Astyanax mexicanus: one gene and its partners. The protein of the gene in region 1 interacts with the protein of each later gene in a pairwise test. Links are inferred from orthologs where the notes say so. Each region holds a gene or a part of one and is shown on either strand. Other genes may lie near its edges. The genes, in order: rchy1, aig1, klhl41b and gorab.

Region 1 (6,883 bases):
AGGCAATCCGGCAACAGCGTGGCGCAGTTTTTACCCTAACCCCCCAGTATCCGATCTCTTCCAGAAAGTTCCTGGGGCACAATTCATCCCTGATCCACAAGACCCCTGTCCTGTAGAAGTTGAAGATGCTGTTGAAGACATTTGGATCCCGGTCGAAGAAATACTCGTCATTTTGCACCACATAGTCATCACACAGGTCCAGCTTCGCTCCAGGGTCTGTGCAGGCGGCCAGCTGGCCAATCCGACTCTTGGGGAACCTTGCGGCCATCTTGTAGGAAATCTGGTACAACTTGCCTCCAACGTTGATGTTGAGGATGCGGTTTCTCATAGGTGAGGGAACGTGAAAGCGAGGGTTTGGTGACCTGCTGAAGACTTGCTCCTCTTCATCTTCAGCGTAAAGATCATAAATGTCACCCAGAGAGCTCCACTGCTTGAACGCATTGTCTTTGGCAAATGGGAGAAGACTGTCTTTGGATTCCTGTTCAGATGGAATCTTGGCACCAGGGAAGAGACTTTGCCTTCGGAACATCCTGCAAGTCTTCTACAGTCAGGACCTCCGTTCATTCATCATGTGGAGCATCAAAACTAGCATCCAGGCTAGTTCCTAGAAAAGAGACCTTCAAGACTACGCTGTCTATGAATTCCCAGCACATTTTCCTCCAAAAATGTCCTATAGAAGGTTAAATAAATCAAAATATACTGGACAGAAACCTTCCTGATACTTTTAGTCAGGTCCCAGTGAGAGCAGAAGTCCTGGACCTGGTGGAAGCTTCTAGACATGGCTCACTCTGTGATCTCTGCCTGCTCCATCTGGTCTCGGTGCTCCCGCCAAAGGTGCTTGCGAGGGAGAATTACAGAGTCTTAATGCTGCCATATTTAAAGCAGGAGAAGGCCAGAAGGAAGCAGGGTGGCAGTGATGACTCCAAGCCAACAGTCTGTTGTACCTTTTAAATGCTAATGCTAATTATCCTCCTGTAAGCCACTGCCCTTCTCTCTGACGTAGCTCGGGATTCCTTGCTCCTGGAGTTTCTATAACTGTGTAGGAAAGCCCTTTCATTACTCAAATTAATGGACGTTCCAAAGTTCTCTAAGGTTTTACCAGGCCATGGTAGTAGCTTAGTGGTTAGAACACAGGGTTACTCAAATCAGTATTAAAATAAAATATATTTATGGAGTTGGTCATAAGAGAAAAGATCAAATATTACAAAACCATAAAAAACATCAGCAACCAAGGATATAGATGGCTAGAATAAGAAAGTAGTAATGATGGGTAGTATTAATGATAATAATAACAACAAAAATCACAGAAATTACAAAATTAGATGTTGGTAGTGGAGGTTGGGCATCTAGTCCCAGGCAAATGGGCAGGCAGTCTGTGGTGGATGACAGGAGAGCCCAATGTTTAAAGAGATCTATTAGTGTTAGGTTGAACATTAATTTTTAAACCATTGACTAAAGTGATGAAATTAAACTATTTATTACAGAGAATGTGATCAGATTATTTGAGAGTGCAAATATAACAGCTTTAGCTAACTAAAGGGAGAGAGAGCCAGAAGGTAACACAGACACAAGCCCAACCTGACACTAAATTCTGATCTATGCTAGACAGAGATTTGAAGTTACATAATATCTTAAGTACAGAAGGTTTCATAAGATTGCTTGTTAGCTACATTATCTGCTAAATGGTGTATATAACTGTTACTATAATTCCAGGGAAACCCGAAATGCTAAAGTCTGAAAGGGTGAGGTAATATTCTGAATCTCGGAGGTACTCAATGGGGATTTAATGCCTCAGTCAGTAGGTCATGAACCCCCATCTGCTGTAACTTCTGCACCACCTGTTGCCTGATAGCTTTTAAAGGACAAAGATTCCCCTAATTACTGAAGTCCAGATTGGACTGAGATTTGTCCCAGTCACCCCCTGACCATCTACTGAAGGACTGAGGATATTTATGGCTACAGTCCACAGTTTAGACTTGTTTTCAGTAGTTCAGTGTGCTGTGTTCTTCTGTGATGTCATAAAAATATCAAACAGGTGCTTGAGAAAATGGCAAGAGTACAGGCTAAGAAGAACTACTAGCAAACCCAAAATTAAAGATAGTAAACCTTTATATAGTGGGAGCTTTACGACTTTGTATGTTTATTGTTTGTATCTTGAGGGAACAAATGCACCAGTTCAGTATCTTTATTATGACACTGTGGGATCAATTGTGTGTGAGCTCTCAAAGGCTTAAGACCCCAAAATATAAGGATTTCGGATATTTAGTAATTTCTTGGGGATTAATGAGCAAGCTTTAAGTCCAGCAATGCTTTAAAGCTCAGCTGAGGCTAGGCAATGAGGTGGGCCCAGGGTTCATGTCTCACAACATATATGGAAACTAATAGGAAAAGGTATGGAAACTGGAAATTCTTCCTGACTGTATTGTTACAATCATGACTTGTCCCCCAAGCAACCACCCAGCAAAGCCATTTTGCAAGCAACACCTTAGCTTATGATGACCACTTATGATGCCAGAGCAACCACCTTATAAAATCCTAGCAGTGCCATGGGATATCATATAAACTGTTTAGCAATACCCTAGCAATCACTTATGATAACAGACCAGCCATCTCACAAAATCCTAGTAATGGCATGGGACATCATAATAACAATCCAGCAACAGCTTGGAACATAATATAAACTCCGTAGCAACACCCCAGCAACCACCTAACTAAATAATTTCAGTGGACTGGAACATAATATTAACCATAGAGCAACATCATGGAACCTCATATAAACTGCCTAGAAACACCCTGGCAACCACTTATGATACCAGAGCAGCCATCTCGTAGAAGCCTAACAGTGGCCTGGGAAGAAAACAGTATAAATTGAAGAAAGATGTTACACAGAGTTTAATGAAATTTAATCTATGCTGCAACATAAAACAACATGCTTTACGATATCGATGTTGACCGGATCGTAACGATGAGAAGCAGAGTGTGAGTCTGCGTACAGTTTGCTCCTGTACTCCAGATAAAGCTGTTTAATCATCAGTATTAAATCCCTGTTTACACATCGACCCGCTGCCAGTTACACAAGGATGAGCTGCACTGTTTCCAGGCCCGAGTCCAGGTTTCTGTGTTTTGGGAGGTTCCGACTAAGCCTTTAATAGCCCGATTCTTATACAGGCCAGGGCAGCAGCACTGAGGGGCAGCAGGACTGAGGGGCAGCAGTCAATTTAAAAACTTTTAAAATATCCAGTATCAAGTGCAGTCAAAAAACATTCTGATGATGGAAATGGCTCTCATCAGGACTGCCCCAGGTAAGGAAGAGCAAGAGTTACCTCTGTTGTACAGGATAAATTCATCAGCATTACCAGCCTCAGAAACCGCAAGTTCCCAGATAAGACATGATAACTGGATCACTTCACTGTTCATTTACTTAGCATTTATTTACAGAAAATTAGAAATGACTGAAATAACAAAGAAAGATGCAGAGCTTTCAGACCTCAAATAATGCAAAGAAAACAAGTTCATAATCATAAAGTTTTAAGAGTTCAGAAATCAATATTTGGTGGAATAACCCTGGTCACAGTTTTTTTATGCATCGTGGCATCATGTTCTCCTCCACCAGTCTTACACACTGCTTTTGGATAACTTTATGCTGCTTTACTCCTGGTGTAAAAATCCAAGCAGTTCAGTTTGGTGGTCTGATGGTTTGTGATCATCCATCTTCCTCTTGATTATTTTCCAGAGGTTTTCAATGTGGTAAAATAAAACAAACTCGTCATTTTTAAGAGTCCTCTTATTTATTTTCAGAGCTGTATATATGTTTATTATGAGGTGAATCTCAGCGCTGTGTGTGTCTGTGGTTTAAATAAAGTTGGGGGGGGGGGGGGGGGGGCTATATAAGTAATCATGGCTGCAGAAGCGGGCTGTGAGCATTATGTTCGGAGCTGTTTGCTGAAAGTAAGTCCTGATTTTATTTATTATCGCTTGTTTATGATTAATAAGCAGCTGGGTACATTTCTACACTGATATTACAGCAGAAAAAAACGCGTTAAATCTGATATATATCCTCAGTTCGCTCTGAATGTCCGCAGTTTGCCGGCTAGCCTGGTAGCTAACTTAGCTAGTTTAGCATCAGCAGTGTGTTCTAGTAGGGAATTAGCTAAGCTAAGCTAGTTAGCTGGGTAAGCATCAGCAGTGTGTTTCTGTAGGGAAATTACTAAAATAAGCGAGTTGGCTAGGTTAACATTATAAAATAAAGAAAAAAAATTCGATTAAAAGAATTTGCTGCACATTTAAACCCGAATAATCCGAGTTTAACTAAACTTACCTGAGATTAACATGAATAAATGTGGAGTTGGTGAGCATATCTGGCTACACTGAGCATATCTTTGCTGCACAGGTAATCTAACATTAGTTAAAGGTATTTGTTTACGTGACTTCTCTGCTATAAAACATATTAAAATCATAAAAATAAACCATATTTATATGGTCCAGATAAAGATAGCTTGCTATAGGCCTGGACAATAATTCGATATCGGTATTTATCGCGATAAGAAATGTTTCAATAACGGTGATATCACTTTTGTGGTATATCGATATGTATTATGTACAGAATCTGTCACGGACAGGCGTTTTTTACTGGCGTCAGCTCGCCGCAGAGCCAAACACATTCAGCCCCCATAGCTGTGCTACCTCAGTGCGTGATGACGCAATCACACAGGCACGTAGCCAGATAGGCTAGGCTAGGCTAGGTTAAAATGGCTAGGCTAGGCTAGGTTAGGTTCAGGTCCGCTCCGCTACGCATCTAAAATGTCTCGAAACGGAGCCGGGACGAGCGGATCCAAGGCTAGGGTAGACTCGGTTCGGTCAGCCGCTGTTTCGCTCGCCCATTCGCGCGTCCGCTCGCTCATCCGCGGCTCCGCTCGCTCGTCCGCTCGCTCATCCGCGGCTCCGCTGGCCCAGCCGCGGGTCCGCTCGCTCATCCGCGCCTCCGCTCGCTCATCCGCGGCTCCGCTCGCCCAGCCGCGGGTCCGCTCGCTCATCCGCGCCTCCGCTCGCTCATCCGCGCCTCCGCTCGCTCATCCGCGGCTCCGCTCACCCAGCCGCGGGTCCGCTCGCTCATCCGCGCCTCCGCTCGCTCATCCGCGGCTCCGCTCGCCCAGCCGCGGGTCCGCTCGCTTGCCGCTTTGCTGCAAATTGTGCCGGTGAGTGGAGCCGACAAGCAGCGTAACGTTAATACATCTAATCTGTTCCACCACCTCAAGCATCTTCACTACATACAATATTTTCCTTATACTGACTGAAGCACTTTAATAGATTATGTTGAAACTAAGTTATTTAAAGTTTATGAATCCTTTAGGTTTGTTTATTTGACGTGGATATCATGTTGAATACCTCTTGTATTCTGGCTGAAGCACTTTAATAGATTATGTTGTCACTAAGTTATTTATAGTTGAAAAATCCTATAGGTTTGTTTATTTGACGGGAAAATCTTGTTGCTTTTATGTATATAAAGGCTTCTTGTATTATATATCCTAGTTAAAACACTTTTGTTTTAATCTGTTAAATTTGTTTACAATGAATAAGAAGCTCTGCCTCTGTTGTCATTTAAAGTTATTTTTATTTGTAATAGTTATATAGGCTTATGTTTGACAGGGATGTCATGTTATTATTTTGCTATATGCAAATAAAATTGAGCATTGATTTATTTTGACTACTTTTATTTCTAAAGTATTAAAGTTTTTGTGAAAGGAGGTTTCAAAGACTTAAAAAACATTTTCATACAGTAGTAGGTACAGATTTCCATTAGATAGATTGATACAAAAAGTGCAAATACACAGTTAAATAATAATTTAAATTTGCAGTGCAAGCTGCAGAGATTGCAGGGATTCTTTTTCTGAGGCCTTCAAAGTATTTATCGATATCGAAATTATATCGTATCGACCGAAATTTAAGGAATATATCGTGATATAAATTTTGGCCATATCGTCCAGCACTAGCTTGCTAAATATATGACTGCAAGGTGTTAAAAGTCCCAAAATGCAAAAAAAGTTTTAATATTTGTGTTAAAATTGGCTAGTTTATTATTTTCCTTATTGCTGAATTGGGTATTTAGTCTTAACTAAATGAGGAACATTCTCATTTCACACATACATAATAAATAAAACAAATTAAATATAAGACAGCAAGAAGTACACACATTTTTTTTCTCTTTCAGTTAGTTTTTTTACATTATAAATTTAATATTGAAGACTATTTTAAAGTTTTACAAAAAGTGTTAAACAAACCAGAATATGTTTTATACTTTACTCTTTTCTTATTGTTTACTACGTAGTTCTGCACATGTACCTTTATTATGTCTACAATGTAGAAAATAAATTAAATAAAGAAAAAACATTGAATGAGAAGGCGTGTCCAAACGGTTGACTGCTACTGTGTGTAAGTCATTACAATAGATAGATAGATATATAGCCCAAAATACACAATTGGGAAATTTTAGTAGTTAATCAAAACTAATAATTATAGTTTTTGTGTGTGTGTGTGTCTCCTCAGGCGCCCTGCTGTGGGAAGTTTTACGTGTGTAGACTCTGCCATGATGCTGAGGAGAATCATCAGATGGACCGCTTTCAGGTTAAAGAGGTCAGGTGTGCAGTGTGTCACGCTGTTCAGCAGGTAAAGACGGTTAACTATTAGAACTATTATTGTTTAAATTAGGGCTGGACAGTATGTGATAAAGCAATTTAGCATTATACTTTAATAGATTTTCACTGTAAAATATCATATTTTTACATGCAAACAAAATGCATTAGTAGCAGCAGATTCATTAAAAAAACATAAATACTCCATTAAATAAAGTGTTTTTTTTAGTCATCTCAATAAATGCAGGAATGAT
Region 2 (7,747 bases), on another chromosome or scaffold:
ATTTCCCCAAATATATTTACTAGTTATTATTAAAACCTGATGCTCTGTTGAGTTTTATATACTCCACCATGCATCTTTCTGATTGCTCATCTCAGCAAGAAACATACTATTTATCTTATCCTAATTTAACAAAGCGATAAGGTTTACCTAAGGTGAAGGACAGGGTGTCTAGTGTTTGTGACCCACAAACCCAAAAGCAAACGTTATGACTGTAAAGCCCGAGAGCCTTTAATGGCTATTTAAAAGAAGCATGGATTTATTGGATTTAACTTAAATAAGGCTGTTTTTGTTTGGAATTAGAGCACAGTGGTACGCTGCAAAAACACAAACTGGTCACTTGCGCTATGGCAAAAAGAATAAACGCTCCAAACAGAAGTGAGTTTACACAGAAGTGTCTAGACTGGAAATGTAGACCCCGGAAACAAGAGAAAGGTCTATAGTAACTATATAGTGTCTGACAGCACTGAATATAAGAACTCTTAATTAATTAATTTTATTAATTAACTCTTTAATAAAATAATAAGAATTTTGCCCAACTGTAAGGATTTATTTTACTTCTAAGGATTATTTCTATTTAATGTTATGACACACGTCACCTTTTGAACCCTAAAAGAAGGACTCCAATTCTCTTTAAAAAAAAATATATGTAGATGAGTTTGCATTAAGCTTTCAGTGTGTGTATTACATCAAGTGCTGCACTCACAATTCTGGAAAGTCTTACACAGCTCCCCACAGCTAACCACAAGCTGCAGAGTGCCCCTGCACTCTGGCAGACCCCAGCAAAAACCCACAGTGGCTGAAGGGCCTACGCAGCAGTAAGCAGGTCTTATGTTTCCTTTGCATTTTCGATTGCTTCACATGATACCTGGGTCAAGTTAAACAAACCCCAAGTTTTAAACATTTGAAAATGAATTACATTTACACATATAGTCTCAGCAAACCTATTCCAATGTTTACATATCTTAACTATCTAAGATACAGACCAGGTAATATATTTGTTTTTAATGAATTGGGAAGCTATTTGGCAGACAGACTTTGCTAATGAAACAGTCTAGATGCATAATACTGATTAAACGGAAGCTGTTAATTCAACTAGTATGTTGGCTCATCAATTAGGTAAATTAGGGTCACAAACCTTAATGCAGTAAATGTTAAAAAAAAAACAGTTTAGTACTAACCTGTAAGTGTTGTAACAGTAAACATTGAGAGTGCAGACATTTCTGCAGGGCCGTGTTTCTTACAGTAAAACTGTCAATCTAATAGACAGCATAAAAAAACAGTTGGCAAAGGTTTTGATTTAGTTTTCTATGTTTTGTCATACTATTTGCTTACACACATTATATGATGTGTATCGGTTAATGTCCAGTTAATCATTTCCTTGCTTATCAGTTACCAGATTTAGCAAGGAAAATGACTAAACTGTACTGAATAATGGCCCTCCAGGAGCAAAGCCAATGACATTTCATAGTAAGTTAGAGTTTCACTTCAGATTTGTTTTGTTTGTTTCAATGTCTTCTATGTAGGACCACACAAACATGATATTGATAAAAAAATCATCTGTACCTTCCTGTACATATGAATTACACAATGCAAAGCTATACTTGGGGCCCTATTTAGCGATCTATGGTCATTTGCGCATCGCACAGCTTGATGCATGCTAGGCCATCTTTATGTAGAGCAACACATTTTTCTTTGCCAGAGTTCTTTGCCATAAGGTGCCATGTTGAAATTCCAGTCACCAGTACGAGAGAATATGAGAGAGTGAAAACACCAAATTTAACTGCCCTGCTCCGCGTTCACACCTGATACCTTGCATCATTAACAAGTCATATGACACTGGAAAGGAAAAATGGCTAATTGGGCAAAATTTGGCAATTGACACTTTGTACTCAGTTTGTTGCCAGTGGTTTAGACATTAATAGCTGTGTGTTAAGTCAGGAAAAGCAAATTCACACTAGTTGTACACTGATTACTTAACATTTGTATTAATATGTCATATCTTCTGTGCTGTCTCATAAAAAGATATAATTAATTATTTACAAAAATGTGAGAGATGTAATTCTGAGAACTGATGTGTACATTATGGTCATTATGGAGTTATACTGGTCATCCATCACTGACTTAGTGGAGCACAGGTCAGAACCCTGTAATCCTCACTTCTCTAGCCACTTAATCGCAGGGACGGAGAACTGTTTGTCGGTGGGAAAGGATTTTCCAGAGCATAAACCTCTTGGCACCCTTATCATGGTGCAGTGCAGATTATAACAGGGGGCAGAGTTTAGCCCACCACTGCCTGACATCTTCCAGAAAGTGATGCACTCAAATGGACAATTATGGATTACATTCCTGCCATGCTTCGAAATCACAGTGAAGAAAACTGGAGAATGTCTCTGATGAGTTATACTAAGGTGCATCATGTGCTTTGCTGTTTTGAAGAGATGGTGGAATAACAGTGTATCTTTGATGCTTATCTGCCATTGCCACTTCTCAGTGTCTTTGATTTATCAGTGTATTTATTAAAGCAACAGTAAAAGATGTGTGTGAAGTGTGATCATGTCAGTAAGCTTGTCTTGGATTGTGCACTTTTTGGAAATGCATCCAGGGTCCTTTTCATTTTGAAGGTCATTGAAGTCATCCTTTTAATTTTGTAGTCTTCCATCTGATACATGTTGTAAGACATTCACAGCCACATGCATTTCAGGGTGGTTCAAAAGGAAAAGTGGACACCAGACAGATCTAAGAATGTGGAAATCTTTTATGTTTTTCTAAACCTAACCTTGGACCTTGACCTCTCTTAACAAAAGGAATTCTTGGGTTGTTTTATTTATTTATTATTTGCAATAAAATATTCATTATTTTCTAAAACTCTTCATGGTGAACAGTAAAATGTCTCTACTCTTCACACAACCACTTAAAATAGATTCGTTCTGTGGTGCATTTTCTGTGTCATGTCTGTATAACTGTAGCTATACTTATCTTTTTTCAGATAACAAATGCACCTTTAGTAAACAAATATGAAGACAGCAAAATGTACGGAGAACACCTGTCATTTATTTAAATGTGTTTATTTTTAGGAAATATTGGAAAGATGGGGAGATCATCCATAGAAGGTCATTCACTTGCAGATGGAGTTTCTTAAACTGAAAATTATTTAAAGGTAACAGACTCCTGACAACCATGATCAGCATCAGACCGGCTCCACTAGATGAATAGCGCTTTCATCTTTGAAAAAAAATCAAGCTTCACACTTTAAATCTGAAAAAAGAAGAACATTTACATTCTGATGCTGCTCATCTGCAGTATGGAATATGACGCATATGTATCATTTGGAAATCTTTTTTTGTAGGTAACAGAACCATGTCTACAAACATACCTCAAGCTAGGTGTGAGATTAGTGCAAGTTTGAACGTATAAAAACATCTGGAGCTTTTTAATAAAGACATCATGAAGGTTACGCTGAATTTAAGCAAACTTTTATTGGCCGAAACCATAAGAAAAAATCTACATCAAGATAATGACCCAGGCACACTGCTTAGAATATCAAGATGTTTGTATCAGAGTCAGATCTTATCATCACGTGTTTGGGATTACTTTGGAAGCAGAGAAGCAGAAAATGCTCCAATTTTTAAGGACTTTGTATGTGTGGACAATTCTCTGCAGATTTCTGTTGTATAGGGGTCTACAGTCTGCACAGAATGAACACTGTAATAATGTAAAGGTGGACAATTTAAATGGTTATACACTGAAGCTTCTGTCTCATTTCTTGTTAGCTGCTAAAAATAACATGTCTGTTTGACTGGGAATAAATAAATGTCTCTGACTTCTGTTCTTATACAGAACATTTTTTTTTATTTTCCAGAGAGAAAAAAGGGTCAAATATGTTCCTTACAGTGAATTTCTGGAAATAGAGAAAACTGGTTTTATTGGGTGTGAGTAAAAGCAGTTATAAGCAGTCATTTCTTACTTTTAGCAATAATGTATCCAGGATAAGAACTAGAGATGTATTCTGTACTTAAGTACTAAAATGCTGTATCTGTATCTACTGGAGAATTATTTTACTTTACTACTGTACTTAAGTATTAAAATGCTGTTTCTGTATCTACTGGAATATTATTGTACTTCACTACTGTACTTAAGTACTAAAATGATGTGTCTGAATCTACTGGAATATATATATTTCTATCCTCCACTTTTACTTCACTACATGTTTGATGAGTTTAATACTTTAACTCTGCTATAAAAAATATAATTAACATTGTACTGCTTTCTGTAATAACTAAATAACACATTAATGTACTTTTACTTTTAGTACTTTAGTATTACATTTTACAATGAACTACTTGCCATACATATCTACAAAAAAATTGAATACTTTAGTACTTAAGTGTGGAGCTTAAAGAACACTTTAACTTCCAATAAAATCACTTTGTTTTACTCAAATCTGGATCTCTAGTATTTTATACATGCCTAAATAAAACCCCATATGTTTTACTGAACAGTATTTTCTGTGTTCGAACAGTTCTTTTCTTGTTTATGGTAATATGTTAATATGTGTTTGAAATATTGTTTTGTTTGTTAAATGTATACTGGTGTCGTGTGCTGTTAGGCACAGTGTTATATGTTTTATGAAAAAGAGACCCTGTGTGTTGTATTATTAAATACGGGCATCTATGGACAACCGCACAAAGCGCAACCGTGCAAATATCGCGAGATTACAGGCAGCGTCAGCTTCACCGTTACTATTAGCAACATCCTCCCTCCCTCCCCCTCTCCGCCGCGCGCATCTTTTACGCCATCACCTCCTCCAGCATCTCGTTGAACTGCGACCCCATCCTCCTCCTCCTCTTCCAGGCGCGGCGCGTCCACAGGATATTATTATTATTATTATTATTATTATTATTATAGTGGGACGGACAGGCGGCGCTGGGGAAGATGGCGCTCATCCCTTCCCAGATCCTGAGAGTCGCGATCCTCCTATCCTACTTCTCCATCATCTGCAACTACAAAGCCATAGACATGCCGGCGCACCAGACATACGGAGGCAGCTGGAAGTTCCTCACCTTCATAGACTTGGTAAGTGGTGCTGCTTATCTGAGAAGCTTCTCCTCCAGCCTGATTGATGATGATGATCACCCACCGGGGCAGACGCCTCTCTCACTCACACACACACACGCACACACACAGCCGGCTCGAGCTGACACTCAGCTGATCCCCCTCACTGAGCCACTACAGACCCCCTCCTGCACCCAGTGATCCAGAGCAGAATCAGGGGAGATCAGGAGGACAGATCACCTGCCTCAGCTCTACTCCAACCGGCCCAGTCATATCAGCGAGCCGATCCCCGGATCAGGCCCGGGTCCACCTGCTTCTGGTATCAGGACCCGATCTCCTGTTAGCACTGAAGCCTAATGTAGGTCAGGTTGATTACCAGGGCCCAGACACGCGCATGCGCACACAGGACGTAGCCGCGTAACTGGCGCGACTGATGTTTTGTCAGTGCGAGCTAATGACTCATGTTTTCCACATAAACGGCTCGTTTTCTCCACTTTTACAATGATTTTAATAGAAGTAAACCAGCAATAAACTTGTTTTCTTATGTTCTTATTGGCACATCTATTCTGAAGTGCCACAATAATAAACGAGCACAGAGCTGAGTAGTAACTCCTAGTAGAGCTTACTCACTTCACTATACTCCTTCACTATTCACCATATAACATTCGCAATATAGTGATTAGGGAACAAACAAACAACTTGTCAAGTTTACATCGCGCATAAACAACACTACCGCGCTGCATTATGGTATACATCAGAAATTTAAGCGTACATCGTCTATAAACAACACTACTGCGCTGCATCATGGTATACATCAGAAATTAAAGTTTACATTGCGCATAAACATCACTACCGCGCTGCATTATGGTATACATCAGAGATTCAAGTTTACATCACGCATAAACATCACTACCGCGCTGCATTATGGTATACATAAGAAATTTAAGCGTACATCTTCTATAAACAACACTACTGCGCTGCATTATGGTATACATCAGAAATTAAAGTTTACATCGCGCATAAACATCACTACCGCGCTGCATTATGGTATACATCAGAGATTCAAGTTTACATCACGCATAAACAACACTACAGCGCTGCATTATGGTATACATAAGAAATTTAAGAGTACATCTTCTATAAACAACACTACCGCGCTTCATTATGGTATACATAAGGAATTTAAGCGTACATCGTCTATAAACAACACCACAGCGCTGCATTATGGTATACATCAGAAATTCAAGTTTACATTGCGCATAAACAACACTACCGCGCTTCATTATGGTGTACATCAAAAATTCAAGCGTAAATTGTCTATAAACAACACTACCATGCTGCATTATGGTATACATCAGAAATTCAAGCGTAAATCGTCTATAAACAACACTACCGTGCTGCATTATGGGTGTTTAATAGTAAACTATATAGGGAATAATATGTAATGGTGAGATTTTGAACAGCACTACAAAATTGTGGGGACACTATACAGTGCACAGCTCGAGTTTGGGACTGGCTTTATGTGCAAGGTATGTATAAAAGGTTTAACTACTGGCTTAATCAAAACCTCTCTCATTCATTGCAATCACATCCCTGAGAGCAAAAACTTTAAATAAACGTTCACTTTTTGGCTGCATTACATGTTTTTAATCTTTATTTAACATTACCTACTAGAAATTGGTTATTGTTAAAGTTCTGACATTACATCAATGTTCATTTATGGTTTTCATCAAATGAACTTTGATTACGTGTACCTTTATATATGTAATAACATTGATCTCTGATGTCGGAATTGATGCAGAAAAGATGCAGAACTTGCTAATTTTCTCCTAAACAGGTAAACACTGAGCTACAATATCTGTGTTAATCTGAAGTATGTTATCAGGATCTAAAATGTATTACTCCAGATTGTGTATTTTTAAAGCAGTGGTGTTTTTATTTTCAGAATAATAGACTTATCAAGCTCCATAATATAGAGTTTATATTGTGTAAACCATAGAAAACATTGCAATATATATACATTTCCTAATCTACTTGAGTATGAGTCATAGTTGCTTGCTATAGCAAAAGTTCTTGAATCTGTCTTATGCTTGTTTGTGTTGGTTCCATGTTCTTAATCTGGCAACATATGTGAGTTTTAAATCTGGGTAGGTTGGGATATGGCAGTGTTTTTAAACTGGACTCTGGTAGCCATTCTATACACTTGCTATCATTTAGTACATATTGTTCCTTTAAGAGTTAAATACTCTAAAGCTAATTTAATGTTTTTGAATATGCTGTCTAATGTCTCATATAGGGGTGTGCCATATCGTATCGTACATGATAATACCGCCAAAAATTTTGAATATCGTGAACAATATCATACCCTGAAATATCGTGCTATGTCCCCCACCCCTAATTTTCACATCATTATCACATTTTACTTTTATATCCTGGATATATGGAGTTATTTGTAGTGCATTATTATTAGTATCATGACATTCTTAATCCATGACTTCTGATACAAATCTGATAAAATTCTTCTCAGTTAGCAATATCATATTGCAGGCAATAATAAAATACTAAATAATTGTTCTAATTCAGTGTTTTGTCATATCGCCAAAAGTATCGTTATCGTGAAAATACCATGAAATATCGTGATATTATTTTAGAGCCATATCGCCCACCCCTAGTCTCATACACTGGCTTTATGTTC
Region 3 (7,660 bases), on another chromosome or scaffold:
CTCTGGTCAGAAATCGTACCCCTGGACCCTCGCTGTGAGCTGACCCTAGACCAGGGTCCATGCCGTGAATATAATATCCGCTGGTATTACGACAAGCAGGCCAACGCCTGCGCCCAGTTCTGGTACGGAGGCTGTGATGGAAACCGGAACCGCTTTGATACAGAGGAAGAGTGTAAAAAGACCTGTGTGGTCTCACAAGCAGGTAATTACTCGCATTTAAACATACAGTCACAATTTTACCCTTAATCTTAAAAAAGTACACCATATAGTTGAATAAATGTCAGCATGCACGCACATCATAATCAAATTACTGAGTAATCCAATCATTGGGTTTACCTAAATTTGGTCAATGATTGGATTTTTGCTTTGTAACCAGCCAATAACTTCACAGAATAAGACACAACATAAAAATCATGTAAAAACTCAAAATTCACACTGAAATTTTATCACATCAAGCTTTAATATGAACATCATTTCAGTGTCACTCTATTTGTGGTACCATGCTCTTTTCTTTTACATGTGCAAATACTGATTATAATATTCACTCTGGTTCAGAGTGTACATGAAGTGAAAAAACACAATTACTGAACAGAATTTCAGCTCTCTTTATCTTATTTGTAATCTATTTATTTTTGTTATCCAGTTTTATAGAAACATTTGCAAAAAAAAAAGTGAACAGACATTGTTTTACTGTCCTTTTTTAATTCCCATCCAGGCTCTCCATATTTAATTTTTTTAATCGGATTTTTGTTTAACGAAAACTGCACCAATCTTACTTACTTGATGTAACTGGTTATCATCAGCATCTACAAATATACTGTATAATTCTCCCTGGTTTGTTCTCACAGGAGGATGATGAACACAGAAGATCTTTGTGATAGAAGATTGACTGTTGTTGGATTAGTATCTGTAATACCTCAACGATCGAGCTCACTGAGAAATGTGCACATAATTGCTGAAATACTGTATGTTGAGTATTTCATTGTACTGCATCAGTGACTTGCTGTGTAAATACTTAATTTTCTTTATTAGCCAATTTCAATTCAAGTATATTTTAGCTCCAGTTGTATTTGTTTTCCTGTTCCTATTCATTTCTAGTCCTTTTTTAGTGATGTATTCCACAACCCACTTGAAACAGTGAGACAGTGAATGTCAGAAGAGTTATTAAAAACCTGCTTCTTATTTGGGAATTGTTTAATTTATGGGGACAATGGTGTCCTTCATTGTCTTTATAATTGTGTCCTAATAGAAAGCAGCAAAAGCCTAATTTAAGAGCACAGAGTCAAGTGAAGGGTTCATCCTCACATATTCAATCCGCCCAGATCTCAGATGCTATGGATTGACTTGAAGAGAGATGTACTTCTAAAGCATCCAAGGGATATGAGAGAGCTAAAGCAGTTCTGCAGGAATAATGGGCAAAAATTTAACGAAGTGCAGATCTGATCCACAGCTACAGAAAGTGCCTGGTTGAGGTTATTCCTGCAATTTTTCCACCACCACTTTTAGTGTTGAATGAGTCATCAAAGACCTGCAACATCATATATATATATATATATATATATATATATATATATATATATATATATATATATATATATATATATATATATATATTATTTTATTTTAGCACATTATATCTGTCAATATCCTTAACTTGAATGATCAGTCCACATTTTATGAAAAATGTATGCATAAACACATGAAACTGCAAAGGATTCACATACATATTTTACTTTCCACTGTATATGGTTGGATATCCCCCCAATCTGCTTATTTTCAGAGCTTGAGCCCTCCCCGCACCAACCCTCTGACTCTTTAATGCAGTTAAATTAGTTTTACACATCAGAAACATCATATTTCCATATTATGTCCTCATTTGGAGATACTGCTGTATGCAATATTAGACTTAACTTTTGTACTGATCCAACCCTACAGTGCCTCTGTGTTTAGAACCAGGCCACTGACGAAGGGCTAAAGGACTAGTGCAATCCATCAACAGATAGGTTTGCTACAGTCTCTAAATGTACATCAGGATATAAACTGAACACTGATTGTTTGACGGGTGCATTATGTATTTAAGGCCATTACCTGATTTGTTGTGAACAGTTGCTATTGTATAATGAACACTGTCAATACTGCAATTTTATGTTTTTGATGTTAGGACATCCTTTGATATTTCTTTATAGGTTTTGTATCATTTTGTGTGTTGTAATCCAAGTTTAATATAGCATACTTTTTTATAAAATAAAAAATGTTACTGAAAAATTATGTTTTACCTTTTTGAACATTCTCAGCACAATGTAAAATAATTTGTCTGATGGCAGTTTAACTGAATATGCAGAATACCGCATGCCTGCCCATAATTAGGCACATGCTGCTGTTTTATGTTAGGTTTATCGGGTTAATTAGAGTTTAAGCACCAAAATAGTTTTTTTATATGACTGAAAATGGTTATTCTATGCCATCACTCTTTATTTTAAAAGAATGTATCTTGGGGTAGCGTAGGACAAGAACATTTAATAGCAACTCTAAATCAAAACGTTTGGACAGTATGATTTTTTTTCCCCCACTATAACGGTTAGTTGAGCCAGTTGGGTTATTTTGCCTGGTCATTTACATAGTGCTGGGCATAATCAAAAATTGGATAAAGTTGGGACAGTAGGTAAAATGCAAATAAACAAAATAAATGCAGTGTTTCTTGCATGTGGTTTGGATTTAATTTTTATCAATTCATAAAAATGCATATCAAAAGGTGATTGTAATCACGATTTGGTCAATAATGAGCAGATAAATTAGTAAAAATAACACAAACTCATACTGTTAAACAAGTGGTATATGATTCTCTGTTACAATTTTTTTTTATGTTTTGCAGGCCTAAAACACATATGCATTTGACATTGTATCCAGCATGCTGGAAATAACAGAGCAAAATAAACCAACAGGCTCAAACCAGCATTAGAGTAGGAAAAAAATAACCCAAAAGCTTTGTTCAGCTGTTGTAACTATTCATTTTGGTCAACAACAGCTTACTAAGCCAAGCTCACTGATTCACATGGTCAGTTTTTTACTGCGTCATCTGCTGTGTGCTGGCTAACAGACGACGCTCACTCACTTACTCTTACACTCCCCTATTGGCATCATTCTCTCTGTGATTGGGGGGGTGAGGTGGGTTGTGTGTGTGAGACAGAGTACCCCCCTCTGTCTTTCGCGCTTTTGACTTAAGTTACATATAACTACCACACACACACACACACACACACACACACACAGGCCTGTTTTAATTATAGTACTATCTCCAACACAACACACGACCCTCTCACTCTAAACTGTTTTCCATGAAATCATAAGATCAGATTCAAAATAAGACTGGAATCCGGCTTCTAAACCAGATTTGTGATTATTATAGTCTATATCAATCAAAGTTTATGATTTGGAAAGAAATATTTTAAATATTTGAGTGTCCTGTAAACTTTGAATATATTTGTGCCATAATTACAGTTCCTATAGATATGTAACATGAAGCATAGAAGCAAAGAACAATAATGAGGTTCCAGTGACTCTAAAACGCTTGATCAAGAGTGTGTGCATGTGTGTGTGTGTGTGGAGGGGGTGGGGAGGGTGGGGTTGGGTGCTGTCACCTGTTGTAGCAGCTGCTTCCCATCACTGTCACTCTGATCTTAGATGTGCTACCATTCACACAAACACACACACACACACAAATGTACAAGTAAAATACATACCACCGAACAAAACATTATACATCTTTACAATGCAACTTCAGAAATGTTATCATGTGAACTTTTACAGAAGTACAAATAGGTTTTATAGATTTAGATAAAATTTTATAGATTATAGACACATTCAGTGTCATATCATTGTAATTGTGATAAGTATGATTCAGCTCATTAAAGCATAAATGAAGAAGAAATTGGAGGCAAAGTTAGATTACCAAGATGAATATTTTTTGATCCTCTATTTTTCTATTGATTTTTTATTTATTTATTCTGTTATTTCTGTTTATATTCTGTTTTTATTCTCTTTTACTTAACATAGTCCATCCATGCTGCTGTTTGCCATGTTTGTGCCATTCAAATTAATGGGGAAAAAATTAGGAATGTATACTGAACGTGTGTGTTATTGATTATGTAAATTGTTAGAGCACATAAAAATACAATATTTACAGCAAATTTAACTTCTCAGAACCTCTAGTTTTTTTCTGCTGCTGGAACAGCTCACTCAATTTATATCGCCAAATTAAAGTTAACAGTTCTTTGCCAAAATAAAATGGAAAATGTTTAACGGAAAATTTATAATACCTGTATTAGGTAGTGCCTTGCGGAACTTAAAAAGGTTAAAATATTGTTATAATTAAAAGACTCCTGATTAATAAATTATTTAGTAGAATTTGTAATTTAATGTATTTCATTATGTGTTAATATTAAAATATTACACAAAAACAGTGAAACACAGTTTTAAACTTAAGGGTTAAATCCTGGTTAGGCCTCTGCAGCCTGTTTTACTGTGACAACTGCTGTCATTGCACTCCCCCTACTCACAGACGGACAGGGGGAACAGGGGGAGCTGCAGAGGGGAGGAGGGTCCAGCCCAGGTTAAATTTAGAAAGCCCAGATTAAATAACAGCTTTTTCAAGCTGCAGATCTTTTTGGTGGTCTGTCCTTTTCCAGCCAGGACTGTGTGGCAAGCAGAAGCCACCCTCTCTCCTCTCTTTCTTCCTCCTTTCTTCTTTGTCCTCCACCACTTACCCTCCTATCCACTGCCATGGATCCCAAAGCACTGAAGGAAGAACTGCGGCTGTTCCAAAGCACGCTGCTGCAGGACGGCCTGAAGGAGCTGCTGAACGAGAACAAGTTTGTGGACTGCACTCTGAAAGTGGGTGACCGCTGCTTTCCATGCCATCGCCTCATTCTGGCCGCATGCAGCCCCTACTTCAGAGAGATCTTCTTCTCTGAAGATGGAAAGATCAAAGAAGACCTCAAAGAGGTCGCCGTGGATGACGTTGACCCCAATGTTCTGGACATGATCATTAAATACCTCTACTCTGCTGAAATCGAGCTGACCGATGACAATGTTCAGGAGATATTCGCAGTCGCTAACCGCTTCCAGATTCCCTCTGTGTTCACGGTTTGTGTGAACTATCTGCAGAAGAAGTTGTCCATGGTCAACTGCCTGGCCATCTTCAGGCTCGGCCTGATCCTCAACGTGCCCAGGCTAGCCGTATCTGCCCGCGATTTTATTGCGGATCGCTTCGAAAGCCTGATGGACGAAGAGGAATTCCTGCAGCTGGCGCCTCATGAACTCTTTGCCCTCATTGGTGGAGACATGCTGAACGTGGAGAAGGAGGAAGTGGTGTTCGAGTCGCTAATGAAGTGGGTGCGAAGCGACAAGGAGAAGCGTGTCAAGTCTCTGGGTGAAGCCTTCGAATTCATCCGCTTCCGCCTCTTACCGGAAAAGTACTTCCAAGAGAAAGTAGAAAACGATGACATCATTAAGGCCGATCCAGAACTCCTGAAGAAACTGCAGGTCATCAAAGATGCCTTCAAAGGGAAACTTCCCGAGATGAAAAAGAAGGAGAAGAAGGAAGGAGAGGTGAATGGAGAAGAAGGAGGAGAGGAGGAAGAAGAAGAGATGTTGCCAGGTTTCCTGAACGACAACCGCAGGCTAGGGATGTATGGGCGTAATTTAATCCTCATGATTAATGACACAGCGGCGGTGGCGTATGACGTGGTAGAAAACGAATGCTTCCTGGCGGCCATGGCCGAACAAGTGCCCAAGAACCACATCAGCCACTGCTCCAAGAGGAACGAGCTGTTTGTCATTGGTGGTCTGTTCGTTGACGAAGACAACAAAGAAGCACCACTCCAGTGCTACTTCTACCAGGTAGGTCATAATATTTTAACTCACAGACAAAAGAGTGACAATTGTGGAAATTTCCTTGCATTTCTATGCAAAAATTACCTTGTACAACGACACAAATAGTACCACATTTCCCCATAGATGTTTTCTTGCTGATTTATCTCAAAATGTATTGTTGATCATTCAAAAACCTCTGTTGAGTTGGATTTTGTACAGTGTAAAAACATTTCATTTGTTTACTTTTGTGCAAATTGCTGTATGTGTAGAGAATACAGTGTTTTAAAGGATCAGGGAGTTAAATAGTCAAATATTTCCCAGGTCCAGAAGGTCTGGTGTCATGGTGTGGGGTGCAACTTATGGCCCTATGACTTTGGCGCACTAATCCATTAAGACAATGCTCGTCCAACTGCTGCAGACTCAAGAGTATGCCACATTGCCAGACATAGCTCTGAATGAAAAGAGGTGGGATACCAAATATTCAAAGCTCTATTGGATGGATTACCACAGAACACCATTAGGAACCTCTACAACTCCAAACCCAGATGTCTGCCATCTTGTGATACACATGCATACACTACTTATATATGTGTAGCTCAATATATATGACAAAGTGTTTCCGAAATCAGTAAAAAAAAGCATTGCAATTTGGCACTTCTTTCTATGTGCAACTATTCTATGTGTATTTTTGCAACCATTTGGATAACTATAGATAACTGGCACTGAAAATAAAGTGAAATCACTAGCGTTACTTCATAGCAGTTTCCTAAGATGCGGCGCTGTGTTATCTAAAGAAACACAAAGATCAGATTGGTATTGGCTGACAATCAGCACAAAAATACTTGGATTTGATCAGGACGTCAGGTTAAGTAAATAATAACATACTCAGTTTGCAAAGTGAGTCAACCAACTGCATGAAGAACAGAAATCTAAAAGTCAGTTTGGCTTATAAAAATTATCATCTGTGAGACCGCAAAACTATCATGACCAATTTTGTCTAATTCATAAATTCTGTTATTCAACAGAACAATTCTAAAAAAATGTTTTAACTGTATTATTGATATTAAAACACTGACTAATCAGTTGTGATTTTATTTCAGTTGGACAGTCTTACATCTGATTGGGTAGCACTGCCACCCATGCCAAGCCCAAGATGCCTCTTTGGTTTGGGTGAATATAATGGTCTGCTGTTCGCTATCGCTGGTAAAGACCTGCAGACCAACGAGTCCCTGGATTCTGTAATGTGTTACGATACTGAGTGAGTAACGTCAATCTGTCATTCTCCTATCATTCTCTTATTGTGTCTTTCAGTTAGAAATGTATACTATCCCAAAGTATTTAGATATCTGCTCTTCTGAAATCAATGGGGATAAAAATGAGCCTATTCTACTTGTGTTGTGAATTTGCAACTTTAAAAGTAGCCGAATGCATTCATAATAGGGGTGTCCACAAGCATTTGGACAAGCAAATGGAATGCAGAGTACTAAACACATTGACATGTAGTCATGTTGTAGTTTGTTTAATAATGTTGCCAAAACTAGTTATTAATTAAAACTATATTAATTCAGCTGTGAATAAGCTGTGGTTTATTTTAGTGTTTTTCCCATTTATATTCTTTTTCATCATTCTTTTGTCTACTTCTGCTTAATGGAAATTTTATCATATGTCATTTTTACAGGAAGATGAAATGGAGCGAGACAAAGAAACTTCCACTCCGCATCCACGGCCATTCAGTAGTCTCACATAATGGCCTGATTTATTGCATTGGAGGCAAGACAGATGATAAGTA
Region 4 (8,013 bases), on another chromosome or scaffold:
TAATAAAAATGTGTTTTTCAAGGACATACAGTATATTGAACTATATATTTCTAATTGATATCTCTTTTTATACAACCATCCGTTGCTCTGTTTATCATTCTGAATATTTTTTGAAAATTTTATAAGTTTATAATTATTTGTAATAATATGCATTTTGAGATCATAAAAGACTTAGATATGAGAATTTTACAATAATATTTTAAACATTCGTCTGCAATTACACTGCATTCTGAGCAAATGTGTTTAAACTGCTAAAAAGATATGTTACCTACAACACTAAGGGAACCCTGTGCTGTATAGAAAGACTTTCCACACTTCCACTACATTTACATTTACACTCAGAATATACAACATCATGAACTGAAGACAATTAAATGTTTTTACAGCTTTGGAAATAATCAGACATTGCTTTGTGTGTCTGTCCATAAGGTGAGATACTAACTGATCACTGAACTGGATCTGAAGAAATGATTTCTCCTTAGACCTCACAGAGTCTGACATCTGCCTTCTCTCCTGTCACAATCACTGACGCTCCCCTGAGAGTAAAAAGTAACATTTGATCAGACTGTTTGACGGTCCATATCAACGGCATGCCCTGCACTGTTTACATCCAGCTTTCTGTTTCACTGACCTTCAACCTCTCCGCTCGTAAGAGAAAGAGCGCGAGGTCTGGCTGGAGGTGAAGAGGGTAACAGATAGAAACAAATAAACAAAGTTAGTTTCTGGCTCCAGCACACTGATTTCTGCTTTCCTGAAGGACTGTTTAAGACATAAACACATATTTACACACTCAAGCACAACATGCCCTGACTTAATCTACAAACCACTTAAGGTCATTGACCTTTAAAGGTCTCATAATAGCTTATTTCAGATTGTTAACACTGAATAAAAACAGGTACAATTAGTAACATTCTTCATTCTTGTTAATTGTGCAACATGTTTTTCACATTGACTTTACCTACCCCATGCTGTGTGTTGACCTTACATTATTACTATACAAAAGGACAAACTGAGGAAAATGTTCTCCTGACATTTAAAAGCTTGTTCAGGTGGAATGCTGAAGCTGCTATTGAGGCAAACTGATGGAGAATTGCTTAAATGTGCCTTATTTAAAAGCTAAAATCTACTCAGGATAATTGATTTAAGTAGTGCCTTCATAGTCATTATACCTATGTTCTTATATTACCATTATTTAAAAGCCAAAAACTTACTTTGCATTGCATTTTTAATGAACAATTAAGCTAATGTTTTAGTTGGTTCATGTCAGCAGTATTCACTTAAGATTAAATATTATTTAATGACAAGTGAGGAAAACATTTAGTTACTCTCTATACAATATTTACATCTACATCATTTTCTTAGTAGGACTATATAGACAAACACAAAATACTCAGAATACACAGATATAGTATGCTCTAAACTGACATAAACGCAGATTGAAAATAGAACTGTATTTGAAAAACACTGATTTAACACACACTATTTCTGCCTACTCCTGGCTACTATTAAACATATATATAATTTAATAACTAAACCAATAACACTCAATAAATACATTTTTTAATGATTTGTAAAGAATAGAGAATATGATATAAATGGGATTGTCTTGTGAGAAAGTTTACAAGTGAAACAACTGGTCAAAATTGCCAAGTCAGACTGTTCGTCAGAATTTCAGCCCAAAACAAACCAAACAAAGTTTCCACTCAGGGGTGTTCAACATTGGGGGTTTAACACTGGGCGAGACAAATTTGCTACTATGAATCAAAGCCTACACTATCTCCTAAATTATTAGCTACACACTAATTCCACTGCAGCTAGAGTAGTAAATTACTGTATGTATAGTGACTTTCGCACGCATTATTATCTAGTTCCCATGCCTTAATAAGTCATTCCCACACCTTAATAAGTCTTTGGCCATGACTTATTTATCTCATTCACAAGGCTTAATTATCTAATTCCCATGCATTATTATCTAGTTCCCACGCCTTAATAAGTCTTGGCCACGCCTTACGATCTTATTCCTACGCATTAATAAGTCTTGGCCATGAATTATCTCATTCATAAGCCTTAATTATCTAATTTCCACACCTTCTTAAGTTGTGGCCACGCCTTGGTATCTCATTCCCACGTCTTAATAAGTCGCGGCCACGTATTTATTTATTTTTTTTTTTACATGATGTCACCGCAATCTTAAATCGAATCTCAGAGGTATAGGCTGTGACCGAAATGGCTCCCTACTACCTCATTAGTGTTGCGCTATGTAGGGAGATACTAATAAGTTCACCAATTAGTGGTAAAACAGGAGTGAATTCGGACACTAACTCATCATTATCATGCGCCAGAACCGTTCGCATAAACACACACAGGTGAGAGAGGGCTGAGTCGTGTTTAAAACTCCATAAACACACTGAACTGAGCTCTGAATTAAAGTTAGTGAAGCTCTTAATAAACTGCAGCTGTGTTAGTGAGTTAGTTTAATTTAAATTAATTAGATAGGGAGTCAGGGTTAAAGAAAAATATATATATATGTAATGTTCAACTTGACCTGTACCTGATCAGCTAATCACTATTTCATTTTCAAACTGTTTATTAATTTAGGATTGCAGGACTTAGTGTGAGCTATAATGAACGAAAATGAATTTAACTAACTAGTTAACTAGAAGCTACATGGATAGCCAGGATTTAGTACAGTACTTTATGTTTGTAGTTTAAAGCAGTTTCTTAACCCTGATCGCTGCCCTAAATCTGTGTTTTCCACCTGATCAGCTAATAAACAGTCATTTACTGAGTTTACCTGTTAAAATCCTTTAGCCCCCTATGGAGCCTAAATTAATCATGTAAATCCAGCAGTGTATTAGACACATCATACCACCACTTTATTAAATGCCTTTAAAGCAGAGGAAGCTCAAGAACATGCAGAACAGTGTTAATATGCAGTAGAATATGTAAGAACAGGGTTGAGAAATACTGCTGTAACGTGACTTCTGTTCATTTGTAGTTCACAGTAAGACCACATGTCCTGATGTTTATAAAAATCTCTATGCAACGTAAAGTTACATTCTTTTACATAAAAGGACACCATCTTAAGAAGAGCTCTCAGTAGAAAAAAAAATAAAAGCGCAGGAGAAAATGTAAATATATGACAGAATTGACATGCCAATACATAATAATAATAATAATAATAATAATAATAATAATAATAACCAAATCTGTTATATTATTTTAAATATTAGGTGATAACTGATAATTTTTGTCATATGTATATAATTCAGACATTGCATGCATATTTTTTTCTAACAACAGTAACTGTACGTGGAGTAACCTGTTTAGGTTGTAAAATCACCTTATAATAATAATTTACTTTTAATTTCAAGTAATTTCCACAAACGTTGTTCTAGGAAACTATAGGGTGGGCTTGGGTTCATATTGGCAAATGTGTCCCCCCCAATATCAAGCCCGCTCCTACGCCCTTGCTCACATTACTGAACGTCATGAAGAAAACCTTAAAAATAGCAGCGTACACCGGCTCGCTCTGTTGCCAGATTGGGTGGTATCATGCCAAATGTCGAGTTGTATCTGAAATTGTCTGGGGGAAACGCTGTGATTTGACAGGTGAACAAAACTACCAAGTGTAAAGAGTTTGGAAATTTAACTCGGTGGTGTTATAGTTAGATATCTAACCCTGCAAAGTCAGAGCTTTTAGTCCTACTGATGGAAATTTGAAGTTGTGTTTATATTCGTTATTATATGTAAGTAAGTAATTTCATTCTTTCATTGCTTGCAAGGTTGTTTTTATGTACTGTTTTTACGTTTTTGTTTCGTGTGTCCAATGATACAAGGCAAAAAACACATAATACAAATATGCAGATAAACTCATTTAAATATATTTTTTGTAACAGTGATATTTAAGATATTTATGATATTTTAGTTAAGATCATGTTGGAATAAACCCTGTAATATTGTTAATATGACGAATATCAGCTGTTTGGGTGGTTTTCTCAGTAAATTTGTGGATCTGAAACACGTTTTACCCTGTGAATTGGTTTTATCTGAATCCCATTGTAACAATCTGGCAACCCTGGTGGCTCGCTGTCCGCTAGAGGTGGGCGGATTTAAGAAAAACTTGCATTTGAATTGCACTGAAAGGAAGACAATTCCTTATTTTTTATTGTTTTTCCAAATGACAATTCTATTTAAAAAAAGAAACAAAAAAAGAAAGAACTTAAGATGTCTAGTGAGGGGAGAATTTTTATTTTATTTTTTAATATTTTTTTACTTTATATTTAAACTTTGTTTTGTTACTGTTCCATTGTTTCTAAACAAAAAATGTTGATTGTGATACTAAAGTATTTTGTTATCACTTACAATGTTTGGTGAAATTATATCCTAGGTTTTTGGATCTATAAAGCTTAAATATTAAAAAGTATCGGTATCAGTATCGATATCGGCAATACTGGCCCTGCATTTACTTGGTATCGGATCAATACCAAAATTCCCGGTATCGCCCACCTCTACTGTCCGCTCCATTTCTTCGGCTGTCTGTTGCTTAGTAGCGAGACCCGCAATGCATTTTGGGACACATTCAGCTCGCTTATTAAGCAGCGAAGTTTACTATAAATCATGATGCATTATGGGAGTTTTTAGTGCCCTCAAAATCACGTTCGAATCCCCCCTTAAGATTCGGACACTCAAAGAAAAATGGCTGACATACTCAATAGTGCCCTAACTAGTAAATAGTGAGCCATTTCGGTCACAGCCATAGTCCTCAGGAATGCGGGTGATATATATCCGGACTACAGCCTGCAGGACTGTCGTGCCTTCCCGCACACTGCCTGTCCTTCAACACCTTAATCTTATCAAGTAAAAACGGGCTTTGTTTAAACTCTATATATTTAAATATGATGATGAGTTTAGTCGGGCGAGAAGAGAATAATCAGGATAATCGCAGGAGAACTCAGTCTGGTTGTTTTTTTGAACGGGGAACAGATCAGTCTCCTCCTGTGGGTCCTGCGGCAGGTCTTGGACGTGGCAGGTCTGTACACAGACATGTCCGCTGGGTGTTGGAGAGCTGAGAGCTGCGGGTCTGAGCTGCGGGGATGCGGTGTGTGAGTGTGAGAACTCTCTGAATCAGCACGGACAGACTGTAGGTGAGGAATGGCCGCGTGGGCTGGATTTTCAGATGAGGAGCTGAGGAGATTACAGCAGAAAGGCGAGACCAGTAAGTTCACTGCAGCTACCGCTCAGAGCCCCACTGATCCTGGAGCTTCAGCACAAAACCAGTAAAATAACCATAGTGAATCCAGTAACACGCCCGTGAAACTTTATTATTCTAAACCAAACCGTGTGTAGCCTACAGTACGATTCCTTCCAGTTTAACGTTAATTAGCTAAACAGCTACATGTTGTGAAGTTAGCTTGAAGCATTAGCATTTAGCATTAAGTTAGCCCCTCCCGTTCCACCTTAACTGAATGCTGCAGCGTGTATGATCAAGGGACTGTATGATCAATGTTCAGCTACTGTACATTTTAAGGTGGAACGGAATGTTAAATAGGAAATTCCAAATAACCCTTTAATGTGGTATCGTTTACATACTGTTATTCAATTAATTAATTATGTAATCAATTAATCTCGCGTTCCCTGCCAGATCTGTCAAGAAACTTAAGTAAACATTTTGGCTATTAAAACTTTACTGTAGTATTTATTTTTCAGACGACTTTTTACTTTTACTTTGTTTTATAGCCTTCTCAAGCTCCTCAATGTCAAAAAAGCTATCTAGATAAATCTATTCATCCAGATAGAGTGAGTCTGATAAATAAAATCTGAGAAATAAAAACAGTCCTATTGGTTTATACAATCTATCACACCTGCCCACACTCCAGCAAGAACATAGCAGATAATAGTAGCCTAGTATGAAGATGAGCCGTGCAGAGACTCAAGACAACTCTAGCCAAATGTCCCAACTAAGCTTCTTTAATAAATTGTACTCAAATACATTTCTTTTCAATGGTCATATATGCAACTAAAACAAGGGGCGTAGTGCATCCCAATTTATTTCACATTAACATTTTAATATAACATTATAGTCGTCATGTCTTTTAGAAAAATGTGTTTTGGGCAGGGTGGTGGGTGGTGCACTATAAGCCCCTGTAGTGCAGCCTGTCCTTTTGTCTTTAATGGCATTATTTCATTTACTATACTTTTTCTTTTATACTTTAAGAGTCAAAAGGTTAAAGTAAGTTGGTATTTTTAACCACTAGTATCTATACTTCTATCTGAGTTAATGAATTTAAATATACTGTTGTTTGCTACAGAGATAAATGTTGTCTGGTTTGTCTGAACAGGTGATCCTGCTGTCCTCGCTGTGATGGGACGAGGGCGGAGAGCTGCTCCCACTAATCGGAGCAGGCAGCAGCTGCAGCGGGAAAGAGCTCTGCAGTTGGCCGCTAAACAGAAAGATTGCCATGGATCTCCACTATCGCCTGACCAGCAGCTCAAACCTCCTCCATCACCCAGCCCCAGCCCCAATCTCAGCCATGTCCCCAATCTCAGCCATGTCCCCAATCTCAGCCATGTCCCCAATCTCAGCCATGTCCCCAATCTCAGCCATGTCCCCAATCTCAGCCATGTCCCCAATCTCAGCCATGTCCCCAATCTCAGCCATGTCCCCAATCTCAGCCCCAGCCCAAACCTCAACCAAACAGTTCAGAGCAAACCATCTGCTCAGAGAAGCGAAGAGTCGAAGCTGCCAGAGCCGGGTGAAGTGAAGCATGAGTCAGATCCACGGCTCGAGGATGCAGCAGAGAGCATCAAGGAGCTGGACAAAGTGGAAGTGGAACTGTTAGTAAGTCTAGTGCCTTTTCAGAGAGTGACAGAAATGAGTAAAAAAAGAAAATAAAGTAGTAAACTATGCCTTTAATGTAAATGTTTTTAATCAGTAAGATTGGTTTATTAACTGCGTCAATCAAAATGTTTATAGTTCAACTAGCATTGAAATGCTTTGACAACTGCCTGCTCACATGAAGCAATAATAATATATGAAGAAAGTATGTCAAATAACCATAAAATAGGAAAAAAATGTGAACGATTATGAAACACAGAAAAAAAATGTGTAAGGAATGGAGTAGTAATATACACTAAATTTACATAATGAAGAATTTAACAGCTTGATTGCTATATTCAGATGAGGTAACTGCAAAGTGTAAATTGTGCAGAACTGCCCCTTGTTGGATTGTACATGCAGTACTTCAATTTAAATTTTTTGTTGTTTATTTCAGACGGGAAAAGACTCGTCTACAGCAGCTTCAGTGGGAGCAGCGGGTGATGGAAGAGAAGAATAAAAAGAGGAAAGCACTCCTAGCTAAGACCATCGCTGAAAAGTATGAGCAACACACTAATTTACTAATGACATCCATTTCTGAGAATTATCTGGTGCCCCAAATCAGCTGAAACCTGTACAGATTGTTTTAGTTTGTTAAGCAGAACTTCTTGTTCCATAGATCTAAGCAGACACAAGCAGAAGCTGTGAAGCTGAAGAAGATTCAGAAGGAGCTCCAGGTCTTGGATGATTCCGTTTCAAATGACATCTCGATTCTGAGGAAGCTGATTGAACAAGCCAGTCTGGAGTATTCCTTAGCATGGTAACAATATATTGTCAATGTCACAGTTGACACAGATTTTATGGTAATCGTTCAGTTTTTAGGTAATGGTATTGTCAGGTAGTATGAGTGCATACTGTCAGAATTCACATTTTAGGCAAAAATAAGAAAAGGTTAGAAATATCAAACCTTTTCTACTAGGGTGTGCCATATCACATCACACACAATAATATTGCCAAAATTAATACTGAATATTATTATTAAAAAAATAGCCATTACTTCTTTTTAGCTGTTTGCAGCAAAAAAAAATCACACTGTTCTCGTTTACCATTAAATATCCATCTACAAACAGATTATAAATATCCAGTATTATTTGGTTCTATTTCATCCTGGATATATGGAAAGCATTACTGTAGCA

Evidence for each region.
Region 2: the proteins of rchy1 (region 1) and aig1 interact in binary tests that used the Homo sapiens proteins (3 or more experiments, as listed by UniProt). The link is inferred for Astyanax mexicanus from reciprocal best matches to the Homo sapiens genes RCHY1 and AIG1.
Region 3: the proteins of rchy1 (region 1) and klhl41b interact in binary tests that used the Homo sapiens proteins (3 or more experiments, as listed by UniProt). The two-hybrid records come from large-scale screens. The link is inferred for Astyanax mexicanus from reciprocal best matches to the Homo sapiens genes RCHY1 and KLHL41.
Region 4: the proteins of rchy1 (region 1) and gorab interact in a two-hybrid assay, tested with the Homo sapiens proteins (3 studies listed by BioGRID and IntAct). The link is inferred for Astyanax mexicanus from reciprocal best matches to the Homo sapiens genes RCHY1 and GORAB.

Annotation. Positions count from the first base shown.
Region 1 is NC_064429.1:11,603,470-11,610,352, reverse strand, and holds the start of rchy1 (RING finger and CHY zinc finger domain-containing protein 1), read left to right. Parts: upstream 1-3,873; 5' UTR 3,874-3,897; coding exon 3,898-3,948; intron 3,949-6,543; coding exon 6,544-6,663; intron 6,664-6,883. Other genes in the region: kcnv2b (potassium voltage-gated channel subfamily V member 2), read right to left, coding at 1-529. UniProt on the Homo sapiens protein: E3 ubiquitin-protein ligase that mediates ubiquitination of target proteins, including p53/TP53, TP73, HDAC1 and CDKN1B. Mediates ubiquitination and degradation of p53/TP53; preferentially acts on tetrameric p53/TP53.
Region 2 is NC_064408.1:57,427,749-57,435,495, forward strand, and holds the start of aig1 (androgen-induced gene 1 protein), read left to right. Parts: upstream 1-4,747; 5' UTR 4,748-4,932; coding exon 4,933-5,073; intron 5,074-7,747. UniProt on the Homo sapiens protein: Hydrolyzes bioactive fatty-acid esters of hydroxy-fatty acids (FAHFAs), but not other major classes of lipids. Show a preference for FAHFAs with branching distal from the carboxylate head group of the lipids.
Region 3 is NC_064412.1:53,827,677-53,835,336, reverse strand, and holds the start of klhl41b (kelch-like protein 41b), read left to right. Parts: upstream 1-4,652; 5' UTR 4,653-4,779; coding exon 4,780-5,898; intron 5,899-6,971; coding exon 6,972-7,129; intron 7,130-7,549; coding exon 7,550-7,657; intron 7,658-7,660. Other genes in the region: col28a2b (collagen alpha-1(XXVIII) chain), read left to right, coding at 11-202, 849-856. UniProt on the Homo sapiens protein: Involved in skeletal muscle development and differentiation. Regulates proliferation and differentiation of myoblasts and plays a role in myofibril assembly by promoting lateral fusion of adjacent thin fibrils into mature, wide myofibrils.
Region 4 is NC_064408.1:60,386,546-60,394,558, reverse strand, and holds the start of gorab (RAB6-interacting golgin), read left to right. Parts: upstream 1-5,008; 5' UTR 5,009-5,154; coding exon 5,155-5,218; intron 5,219-6,341; coding exon 6,342-6,837; intron 6,838-7,274; coding exon 7,275-7,376; intron 7,377-7,496; coding exon 7,497-7,637; intron 7,638-8,013.